Ovis aries: one gene and its partners. The protein of the gene in region 2 purifies or fractionates together with the protein of the main gene of each other region. This does not show direct contact. Links are inferred from orthologs where the notes say so. Each region holds a gene or a part of one and is shown on either strand. Other genes may lie near its edges.

Region 1 (3,748 bases), on a different chromosome or scaffold from region 2:
TTCAGCACTTAACCATTTCCACCAGTCATTTCTACTTAATTATTGGGTGACTTGTTTCTCAGATTAGACTACCAGCTCCTAGGCTAAAGGTCACAATTTAGGCTTCTTTCATTTTTCCACATCATGCAGTGAGTGTATTTTCAAAACTTTTAATAAACAGAGGTACATGGCTCCCCATATATTTCACCACATTATCTGGAGACATGTAGTTAATTTTACTTCTCCATAGCAAAAGGTTTTAATATCTTAAAGATATGAGCTAAAACAATGTACAAGTCAAACAAGACTCCTGACCAATGTTCCAATAAAGCAGTGATATCTAATCAGTGAGCAAGCCCTGGCAAACTGTACTATCAGGAAAAAAAGTCAAGATGGCAGAGCAATTTAGCATTTTCACAAATTCCATTTTAAAATGAAACAAAAAATTTTGATTATCTACAGCCTCCACTGCCAGACATAACCTTTGAAACCTAAGAATTAAGAATGTTTAAAGGAAAAACACACAGCTTTCACATTTAAAAATTAACCCCTAAAAAAAAATCAATTCTTCTAATAACATTTTCCAGGTAGAGATCTATGTATTATTAATCATCTAAACTCAGATTTTCCCACCTAAAGTCAGGTAAAGGCAAAAATATTTAGGGAAATGTTAAAATATATATAAATGTATCTTACTGTATCATGGATAATAAAGTATTTCACCTAGAGTATCACTTAAATTTTCTTAGAAGAACCTTTAAAAAAAAAAAAATCACATACACCCTCAAGCAACTGGTCAGCTTTTACCCTTACAGAAATAGAAATAGGGAGCTAGGAACTAGCTGAAAGCAAAGCAGTACTTTAGGGTGATTAGCACTGATCTCTCAGGAACTTTGCAGTTCTCAAATTTTTAACGTGTTTGACATTTAAAACAAAAGTTGTAACAACAAGATCCATCTTCCCTGAATTTGTTTAATGGCTACAAAGCCTATGTAACAGAGTGCCAAGTTTCTGGGTATCTGCAAACAACTGAGCAATCAAAGATGGAGTCACGACAGCTCACAGAGAAAAATAAGTTTAAGGCTATTCGAGTCTGAAAGGCAGAGGAAGAAATGGGGGAAACCTGTCAAACAGCCTGGATGAAATCAGGGAGTTAAAAAGCAAGCGCTCATTTCCTTTAGCACTGTGGGAAAAACCCAGTGCTAACAGAAAGCTAAGGAAAGTTTAGTTTGGCTGATTTCATTTTGTTTTCCTTCCAACATCATCACTGAGTTTGAACGGCTGCTTTCCTCCCCTCCCATTACTCAGTAAAAACTCCCCCACTGAATTGAGTCGTCTTCCGGAGCCAGGCGCCCCCGCCTCCAAGCCTGCTAACGTGCTCAGACGCCTCTGGGCATGTTGTGGTCTCACCAGTCTGCGGGGCCAGCGCTCCGAACTCAATGGACAATAGGAGCTCACCCCCGTCTACGCCAACTACAAAGCTCAGGAGGGCCATTTCCCTTTTCCTGCCCAGATGCTGTTTTTCCCCCTTCGAAGCAGGGCCCCGTGCTCCACTAAAGCCCCAGTTTGGTCTGGGACGCCTAAGCTCCCTTCCCACCTGCAGAAATGCTGAACCCCTCCTCCCGTTCAAACAAGTTATAGGGCAGCGCACAGGCCAAAGGGGACCCCCTTCCCAGGGGCTTGACTGGGGGCGTGGGTTTCAAAGTTCAGGTAGGACGGGAAAGGGAGGTCTCTGGACACTTGATCATGGCCCTCCAGGCTAAGCCGTCCCCACTGTCCCCACGCCAGCCTCTACTTGCCTCCCATCCCCCCTACAACGAGGAGAGGCGGGGAGGTGCGGGCAGGCAGCACGGCCACCGCCTCTTCCAGTGGAGCCCTCGGCAACACTCACCCTTTCACCACAAAGAAGGGGTCCTCCATGGACATGGCGTCCCGGCCCCCGGCCGCCTCACGTTTGCTCCGCGCACAGGGCGCCCGCGCCCTCCAAATTTCCCTCTGCCCACCCTATGCGCCTCGCGTAGCGGCCCGCGCCTCGGCCTGAGGGTCCCGAAGCCTCTGCGCGCGCAGGGCGGGGTGCACCGGCCAGCCGCTGGTCCAGCACTCGATGGGCACTGCAGACCAAATCCAGACTCTGGAGCCGGCCCCGCGGCTGTACCCTCCCCCGACTCCTCCCGGAGCGTCCGGCCGCCTGGCTCCGCCCCCAGGTTCCTCAGCCTCGGCCAATCACGAACGCCATCCGCCGCACCACTTCCGCACCCGTGCACACGTGATCACTGCCGACCCCGCCCCTCGTTGCCGGGTCCTAGGCACCTTGTCACACGACCCTGGAGGCGGGGCTCTGGGGGCGGCGGAAGAGGGCGGGTATTCTCTCCACTCGCCCCTCAGGATTCAGGGGCCGGAGCTGCTTGTCCCTACGCGGGAAAGGCATTCAGGTGTCCTAGGTATGCATTAGTATCTCCTTTGCATAATTCTTTCACCTTTCCTCTACTTTTGATACTTGATTTTGAAAACATATTGATTTAGAAATCCATCTCGTCCTCCACTTACAATAAAGCCTGCTCGTATACATTATCTGACTATATTGCACAACTTTATGTAGGTCTTACTATATCCAACAATGCGCTGAAGGCTGTATGTACATCATCTCAATATTCTTGGGGGGAAGGTATTATTACCATTTAGTAGATGAGAAAAGTTCAAAGAGGCTTCGAGATACAACCTGGACAGGGCAATCAGAGAATCTGTGCACTTTCCACCAGACGGCTGTGTTTTCTATTGCTGTGTACCTTTCTCGAAGTGACCAGTAAGATAATTTTTTCATACAGCATGTGATGCTTCCCAGGAGAAAGAACTTTTGAGGGACAAAGGAGGGGCCAGATATGGCAACTTCTTCTGAGCTAAATGGTTCAAAAGCACTTCCCAAAAGTATTTTGGTCAGAACAGTTATCAAATTCATATGCTAGATATGCTATGGGGTTTGTGAACATTAATTGCTGATTATCTTTGAGCACTTCCTGTATGTCAGGCACTGTGCGAGTGTTATCTCAGTTGCTCTCAGGAGGTAATTACTGTTGTTATCCCCATTTTACAAATGAGAAATCTGAGACTCTTGCAGGTTAAGTGACTTGCTTAAAGTACCAGTCTTTTTGGAGATGGAAGAGTCCTTTGAACCAGACAAATCCTGTTTGAACCTGAGTTCTGTTATTCAGTCCCTCATCTATAAAGCGTGCACAATAATATTTAGCTTGTGGATCGTTGTGAGGGTTAAATAAAAATGCACGGAAACCCCAAGGCCCCAAGGAAGTAAGGCAGTGAAGTCAGGGAAACTAGTCTGGAAGCTGCTGTGGTCATCCAGCCTGAAGGGCTGAGGACCAGAATAGGACAGCAGAGCAATTGTAAATGGAGAGGAAGCAGACAATCTGATAGGTATTTCCAAGGAAAAACAAAAACACCTAGACGTGGTGAAAGGCTGAATGGGGTTAAGGGGGAGAGAGGTGAAAATCAGACTCCAGGCTTCTCTGAGACCCTGGAGGAGCAGCTGAAGGAGGTCAGATGTAGGGGAAAAGAAGCTGTTGGAAGAGAACTGTTTTGCTTCTGAACATATTGAGATGGGGAACTCAAAAGGGATCAATCATTTTTCATTCATTCAACAAACACATGGAAATTGCAGAGAAGATGAGAATAAAGATTAAGAGTCATAGTTGCAGCCAGACTGTGCTCAGTCACTCATTTGTGTCTGACTCTTTGCAGCCCCATGGACTGTCGCCCA
Region 2 (3,648 bases):
CAAGTATTATCTCATACACTATACACAAATATTTGAAGACTTCTCATTTCCTAGTTTACTAGAGGCTTCAAATCCTCAGCCTTCTTTGATGTTTCTTTCTTCACATTTGACACATAATCAGTTGGCTTCCCTGGTGGCTCAGCTGGTAAAGGTCTGCCTGCAATGCAGGAGACCCAGGTTCGATCCCACCCACTCCAGTACTCTTGCCTGGAAAATTCCATGGACAGAGGAACTTGGTAGGCTATAGTCCATGGGGCCATAAAGAGTTGGATATGACTGAGAGACTTGACTTGACTTTCTTTCTTTTAGTTGATTTAAAGAGAATCCGACTTATACTTTTCTCTCTAATCTTAATGATAAGGTTACAGCTCACAGGCCTAGTTTACAAAAGGTTCCTAACTGGTCTCCTCGTGTGCAGTTATATCCTCCACTCCAATCAATCAACCCCCTAGGCTGGCATTCAAGTTCCTTTACTGCCTACTTATGTCTTATTTTTCACTTTTTCTCAATGTGAATCATGTAGTACAGTTGAGTCAGGCTCCTCTGTAGTCTTTATTTACATTAAATCTTCCACAGGAAATGTCTTCCCACTTTTGCCAGGCCCATCCAGATCTTTCTAATCATTCAGAGCCCAACTCAAGTCCACTCTCTCCTATAAGATGAACTCCAAACTAACTTTTAGTAGTTCTGTACCCTTGGCCTCCACTGATATCATAGATCTAGCACCAGATTTCTATAGCTTCTACTTTCTGCTATTCTGTCTCATTTATCCAACCACATGCTAAGTCCTTTGATGCCAAGATCCAAGTCCTTTATTTCCTTGGCCATCCCTCATGTGCCTACCACAGAATATATGTTTTATTAATTCTCCTTATTTGAAAGGAAAAACACACTAATTTCATCCTGCTATGTATTATCCAGATGGATATTTCCCAACCTTTTCATATTATTTAAAATGTAATTGGGACTTGATTGAAAGATTGATCAAATTTAAGTGATGGTTTTCAGTGAGTGTGCCTATTTACATAAAAAGTTTGATATGCCTGAAGGAGAAAGAGATTAAGTTGATCTAACCAAGTTCTTTATTTAGGCCCTGGAACACTTCCTGGGGGATGAGAGGGGGGTTCTGAAGGTGATACTCTCATTTTAGATTTATTTGAAAAAGATTTTGATTTATCAACTCACCTACTACATGGGCATACACAAAGGCCACAGCACTTGTTGAGTTCTGTTAAAGTCTTCTCTGCTTCTCTCATGTCTTTGTTTATTTGGTCCATGCCTTCTTCTATGCGTTTTAGTTGTTCTAAGAATAAGTTGTGGAAGTTAAATTTTATGTTACATTCATGCTGCCAATCAGAAAGTGCTATTATTAGTATAACGGAAGAGCAAACTTTAACCTCGAATCCACAAACAATTCATCACAGTGACTATATCAGGGCCAGATGGTACTATATGCTGTCCAGAATTTAAAAGTCTTTCACATACTGATCCTAGGGTATCTGGCCTCTGAATGTGGAAAGATTTGTTCTAAAGAAATGTGTATAACAGGAGCATGTTGAGGATTGGCGTAGGCCTCACTAGACCAGATTCCTAGCATTTCTATTACTGAATAGGCTCAAAACCTAAAGACTGTCCTAAGATGAATAAAAACTAGACCAGATTGCTCAGGGCCAAATCAAATGCAAAGTTTCTAATTCCACAAGGATGTAACTTGATTTCTGAAAATTATGAAAGAATATCATAATGTCCAGGACACAAATGACCAGTGCACACAATAAGCCCTGCTACCTAATAAATAAATACTTGGTGGACAATGGGATATTGTGACTCTCACCCCAAATAGGCATCAAAACATGATATAAATTAAATCAGAAGAAAAGAAGCAAAATATCACTCTTATCTTACAAAGGAAAGGTACTCCCAAAGGCTTAATTAATTTTAACTGTGGCTGATTTGAAAAGGCTTTCTGGCATTCTAAATCAAATCAAGAGTTCCTGCCAATGACTGCAACTCACCCCCTTGTTCATCCAGCATAGTGATAGTCTTGATTCCTGCATCCTGCGACTAAAAGAAGGGGAAAAAAGCTGATAGTACAACCAAACCAAACCAACAGAAACAAAAGTACAAGGTCTGAAAAACAGCAAGGAAGAAACATTAGAAACTTAAGTTCTCAGAGGATTAGAAAAAAACTAACCTCCCCAAACCAACACACCTTAACATATTAAGCCCCCCACCCCGGCCAAATAATTAAGTCACAAACTCATGGTGAATTGTTTTCCCTGTTATATTCCAATACTATCAATTAGAAAAGCCAAAAAGGCCCATTAGTGCATGGTTTGACAATTTCAACAATTGCCGATTTCAAATAATAAAGCTTATTGATACAATATTAATTCCAGTCTGTGTTATCAGAATTCCTTCTATACAGTTTCTATACTTAACTTGATGATTAAACACTTTCTTACCTCAATGGCTAAACCCAGGATTCTCCTTGTACTTTCCAGAGACTAGGAGAAAAAAAGAGTTTTAGCATTCTAAAATATGTAGCATATCCCCGCCCTCCAAATCTGATCACAGGCCATATTCATGATGCTACTTTATTTTTAAAGATTGCTAGCACATCCATTCCTCCCTTCTTTAAAACAAAAAATAAAGTTTACTAATTTAATTTTCATTATTTTATTTCTACCAGATGCTTAAGAGAAAATTTGAAAGAGTATAGTTAATGGGATTTATAAAAATGTAATGTAGCAGAAATCCAGGGATATCACACAGATATTAGAAAATTTTGTTAAAATTAAACAAACAGAATTCTTCATATCTATCTTCGTTCTAAGTTACTATTCAGTAATGACTATTTAAAAAAAATCATACAGATTGTTTGCACTTATTTAGTTTTTTGATGAGCTGACAAAATAAGAAACTAGCAGTAATGGCACTCAAGGGCAAATGCATTCTTTGATATAAACAGACTAGGGAGAGGCCGAAATGGTCTTCTAAGAAGGTCCTCTCATGCTTCCACTGTGAAAATTGAAAGAGAATTAATGACCTATTCCAAGTAAAACTTTTACCTCATCAGTAACCTGGTTAGCCCTCAGCTGAATTTCTTCTGCTGACAGATTATCCATGGTCAATTAAAATTCTTGATAGGTGCAGAAACTGAAATGTGGATATTCTGTAAGAATAAGAACACAAAAACAAGCTTATTTGAGCAAAGAATGTGGAATTTAGGATACTTATCTAGAAAACACGATAAAATAAACCTAACTTTATCTATCTATCTACATCTTACCGGTGAAGAAATTAAGACTGAGAGATGGTAAACAAATGTTAGCTAGTACTAGAGCTGAATCTAAAATTCAGGTTTCAGGACTTTCAGGGAAGCATTATTTCTAATAGGAAAGTGGTCCCTCTACTTTGAGAAGGAAGGCATTATTAAAACACAAGCTTCAAGAAGCTATTAAATATCAGAGAAATGCAAATCAAGACCACAATGAGAGGTACCATTTCACACCAGTCAGAATGGCTGCGATCCAAAAGTCCACAAGCAATAAATGCTGGATAAGGTGTGGAGAAAAGGGAACCAACCCTCTTACACTGTTGGTGGGAATGCAAACTACTACAGCCACTATGGAGAACAGTGTGGAG
Region 3 (3,748 bases), on a different chromosome or scaffold from region 2:
AGATGCAAATGAAGGAGACTTGGGGTTGGTCAAGAAGAGAGGGAAAGGGAAGGAGGGAAAGAGGAAAAGGAAGTGATGAGAACCTCAGGAAGGGGTGTTAAGGACAACTGGAAAAAATCTTCTAGTAATAAAACTACAAACAGACCAAATATATATAATATTATATATGTATAAATAACAGCTGGCTATTTACAAGGGGGCGCACACACGACACACACACACGGATCCGGGGGAGATGGGGCTGGAAGATATGGCTGAGAGGTGGAGGAGCGGCTGGGGGTTGGGGGGAGAGGCCCTTCTCTGGGCAGGGCAGGCTCCTCAGGGGTTTAAGAGCTGAAGTAAACTGTGGAGAGGGAAAGAGAAGGAAGAAGACGGAGAAGGGAGGAAGAGAAAGAGAGAAAGCAGTGTGTCAGCCCAGCCCTGCTCCCACCTTCCCCACCTCCCAGCTAGGTGACATCCCTTCCCCTCTTGGCCTCAGGTTCTTCACCTGTAAAGCAAGGAATCTACACAGATTGGTTCCCAGATCTCCTCAACTCCATGGTATGGCCTTGGGGCCACAGATCCCTAATCCTCTGAGACCACAGCTCTCAAACAATGGGGTGGTTTGCTTCCCAGCTGTTTCTCAAGCCCCTCAGTCTCTGCTGCTCTCCCACTCCCCAATTCCAGGTTCCCAGTCTATTATGCTCTTCCTGTTTTTGAAAATCTTAACAGAAATGGCCCAGAATCAGGCAAAGTGCAAGCTAAACAACTTCAAGGTTTGGGGCTCTAGATGAATCAGAACTGCTACTGGCAACCATATATACTTTTTCCTAAATACTAAAATCTAGGTTAATGACCTTCAAAACCCAGAAACCGCAGGGGAACCCTCTCCATGAAAGGGCCCTAGCCACTCCCACCCTACTCACCGATGATGATAATGAGGATGATGGCGCAAATCACTCCCAGGATGATCATCATCTGGGGGTGAGGGGGAGGCTCAGTGAGACAGACCAGGATACTCCCATTCACCCCCCACCTCCTCCCTGTCCTCCCACCTGCCTCCACCCTTACCTTGAGGTTTTTCCACCAGTATTTGCGCTTGAGCTTGGCTGCACTAGTTTCAAACTGGGAGGCCCCCGCCTGGAGGGCGTCGGCACGGTCGTCCAGCTCCGACAGCTTCTGGTCCCGCTCCAAAACCTTGTCTACGTTCACCCTCATGATGTCCACCACCTGAGGGAAGGCCCACAAGGCAGCGGTGTGTGTGCCAAGGTCCATCTCAAAGGGCACTCCTCCACACACCATGAGCTCACACAGGGAACAGGCATCATGTGGCCTGGCTAACATGCCAAGGACATATACAGAACATGCCTAGCACACCAGAGAAATGCAAGCAGCACACAGCAGGGGCATGTGGTATCCACACTGCTCAGATGTCACAGCACCACTCTTTATTTACTGAGCCTCAAGCAGCCTTCCGTTCACCAGAGCATCCACCCAGGGTGAAACACCTCAGGTTAGCCAGGCCAACATCCCCACGGGCCCTCCCATACTTGCACGCTGACAAGGACGGGCCATGGTATATTTTCGTACCCAAACATGAACTGCCATCACCCCCCAACCCAAAATGGACCCCCGTGTCGGTTTGTCAACCCTCAGGGTCCTTCCCACTGTTTCTGACACCACCACCTCCACTCACCTCATCCACCTGGGCCTGGGTCTGCTGCAGTCTCCTGTTACTAGTGAGGTTTGGAGGGGGCGCAGGAGGGCCTCCCTCCCCAGCCGGGGCGGCAGGGGGGGCGGTGGCAGCGGTAGCCGACCTGAGGGGCAGGGACGGATTAAGAACCAAGGCCTGCAGCCCTTGGCCCCGCAGCCAGGGCTCCGCCCATCCGCCTGTCCCTCCATCCGTCCCTCCCTTCCTTCTTGCCGGGTAGAAAGCCACTCGATGCGAGCCCTGGCCTCCGTCCGGGCCCGCGGGCGAGCTGCTGCGTGACCTTGAGGGAGGCCCCCTCCCCCTCGGGCCTCAGTTTCCCCGCCTGTCAAACGAGGGCGACCTCACAGACACGGTCTGGGGTGGACCCAGCAGCGATGATAGAGGCGGAGCGGCCAGATGGGGAGTCCGCCCCCTCTCGCGGTCAGCCTCCGCGCGGCCAGCCCGGGACGCGGGGCTCTCCTAATGCCCGCGCGCAGTCACAGGCGCCGGCCTGGTCTCGGGACGCGGGGCGCGTGGGGGACGCGAGTCGAACCCCGAGCCCTCCCCAGGCCTGGGCCTAAGGGCGGCGGCCAGTGCCGGCCAGGCGGTGCAGGTGCGGGCGCCGACTCACATGGCGGGGGCAGCGGGCGGAGGACTTGGCAGCGGCAGTGATGGCGGCGGCAGCGGAGGCTCGAGCTGGCTCCGACTGGCGCTGGCTGCCCGGGACGGGAAGATGGCGGCCGCACGTCACCCACATCCGGGCACTGCGGGCGGGGGCGGGGCGCGGCGGGCCACTAGTCGGCCGCCGGGCCGCGGGGGCGGGGCGCCGAGGGCGGGGATCGCGGCCTGCCAGGTGGCGGGTCCGGCGCCGCCTGGCCCCAGCCTCTCCCTCGCTGCCTGCGAACCCTGAGCCTGGTGGCAGGGCTCCCTACACCCACCACTAGCCCACCGGGTCTGACCCCAGCCCTCCCCGAGGTCCTCGCGGTCCCCCTGCCCCCACCGCCTGGCCCTTGAGGCGCCCTTCAGCCCCAAACACATCCTCCTCCTCGGTGAAAGCCGTCAACCTGTCCGCACCCCACGCAGCCCCAGGTCCCAGCCTGCTCCCACGTCCCAGTGCGGGTTGAGCAGCCTTGAGCATTTGGAAGGAGCAGGGGGGTTGGAAATCAGAAGGAGCAAGTGCAGGTCGGAGGCAGTGTGAATAGCTGGGATCCTGGGAGTGGTGGGAATTGATCCTCAACCCTCTGCCTTGCGAGTGGCTATCCAAAAGGAGGTCTGGGAACCGTGATAGCAACCCCCTCCTCGCAACTGAGGTTCAGACCAGGGTTCCTTGGCAGGCGAGGCCTGTCTGAGGTGGGGCAAGCTTGGGAACCCGGGAGAAGGGCACTACGCTGCCCTGTGGGGCCGCTTCATGTGGTGGCTTCAGACTGGCAGAAACCTAGCTCTGACCCAGAGTTGAGTAGCTACCCTGGCAGCCGGAAGAGGGCTCAACCTCTGATCCCAGGCACAGGGCTAAAGGACAAGGCTTACGCATTTTGTTTTGTTTTATTTTGTTTTGTTTTGGCTTTTCTTTACCGGGATGGAGAGTAAGTGGGCAAGGGCGGCACCTGCGGTACGCAGGGACTTGGTACTACTTTACCTAAGGATTAGCCTCATGCGTGTGACATAACAGCTCCTGTCCTACCTCTAGACCCAAAATGTATTAGGTGTGTCGAGTCTATACCTATATTTGTTAAATGTCTAGATGTAAGACATGGTAGGGAATTATCCACAGCCCTTTCCACACCTGGTCTCTGTTTAGGTCGTCTAAACTGGCCCAGCATCTCTCACCCACCCACCGTGCTCTTTCCAGCAGGAGTGGCCCCTCAGGAAGGAGGCGATGGGTGTAAATGAGCTGCCTGTCCGGTGGGTTGTGACAAGCCTCAAGAGTGAAGAATGAGGCCCAGTGGCCCTGTTATAGAAACCGTGGCGAAGGCAAGAGACAAGCAAAACTCGGAGATGTGGAACAGCAAGGTTTATTCCGCACTGGTGCAGGCACAGCAGAGTTGCCTCCTGAGGCTGAGCACCTGGGCTTTGTTCTGG

The links.
Region 1: the proteins of SNAP23 (region 2) and STX6 purify together in Homo sapiens (affinity purification with mass spectrometry; 3 studies listed by BioGRID and IntAct, with this or other methods). This does not show direct contact. The link is inferred for Ovis aries from reciprocal best matches to the Homo sapiens genes SNAP23 and STX6.
Region 3: the proteins of SNAP23 (region 2) and VAMP2 purify together in Homo sapiens (affinity purification with western blotting; 4 studies listed by BioGRID and IntAct, with this or other methods). This does not show direct contact. The link is inferred for Ovis aries from reciprocal best matches to the Homo sapiens genes SNAP23 and VAMP2.

Annotation. Positions count from the first base shown.
Region 1 is NC_056065.1:61,536,609-61,540,356, forward strand, and holds the start of STX6 (syntaxin-6), read right to left. Parts: upstream 2,133-3,748; 5' UTR 1,906-2,132; coding exon 1,871-1,905; intron 1-1,870. UniProt on the Homo sapiens protein: SNARE promoting movement of transport vesicles to target membranes. Targets endosomes to the trans-Golgi network, and may therefore function in retrograde trafficking.
Region 2 is NC_056060.1:36,077,151-36,080,798, reverse strand, and holds part of SNAP23 (synaptosomal-associated protein 23), read right to left. Parts: intron 3,176-3,648; 5' UTR 3,129-3,175; coding exon 3,072-3,128; intron 2,508-3,071; coding exon 2,466-2,507; intron 2,065-2,465; coding exon 2,016-2,064; intron 1,304-2,015; coding exon 1,186-1,303; intron 1-1,185. UniProt on the Homo sapiens protein: Essential component of the high affinity receptor for the general membrane fusion machinery and an important regulator of transport vesicle docking and fusion.
Region 3 is NC_056064.1:27,614,013-27,617,760, forward strand, and holds the start of VAMP2 (vesicle-associated membrane protein 2), read right to left. Parts: upstream 2,405-3,748; 5' UTR 2,303-2,404; coding exon 2,301-2,302; intron 1,797-2,300; coding exon 1,676-1,796; intron 1,210-1,675; coding exon 1,051-1,209; intron 958-1,050; coding exon 906-957; intron 344-905; coding exon 327-343; 3' UTR 1-326. UniProt on the Homo sapiens protein: Involved in the targeting and/or fusion of transport vesicles to their target membrane. Major SNARE protein of synaptic vesicles which mediates fusion of synaptic vesicles to release neurotransmitters.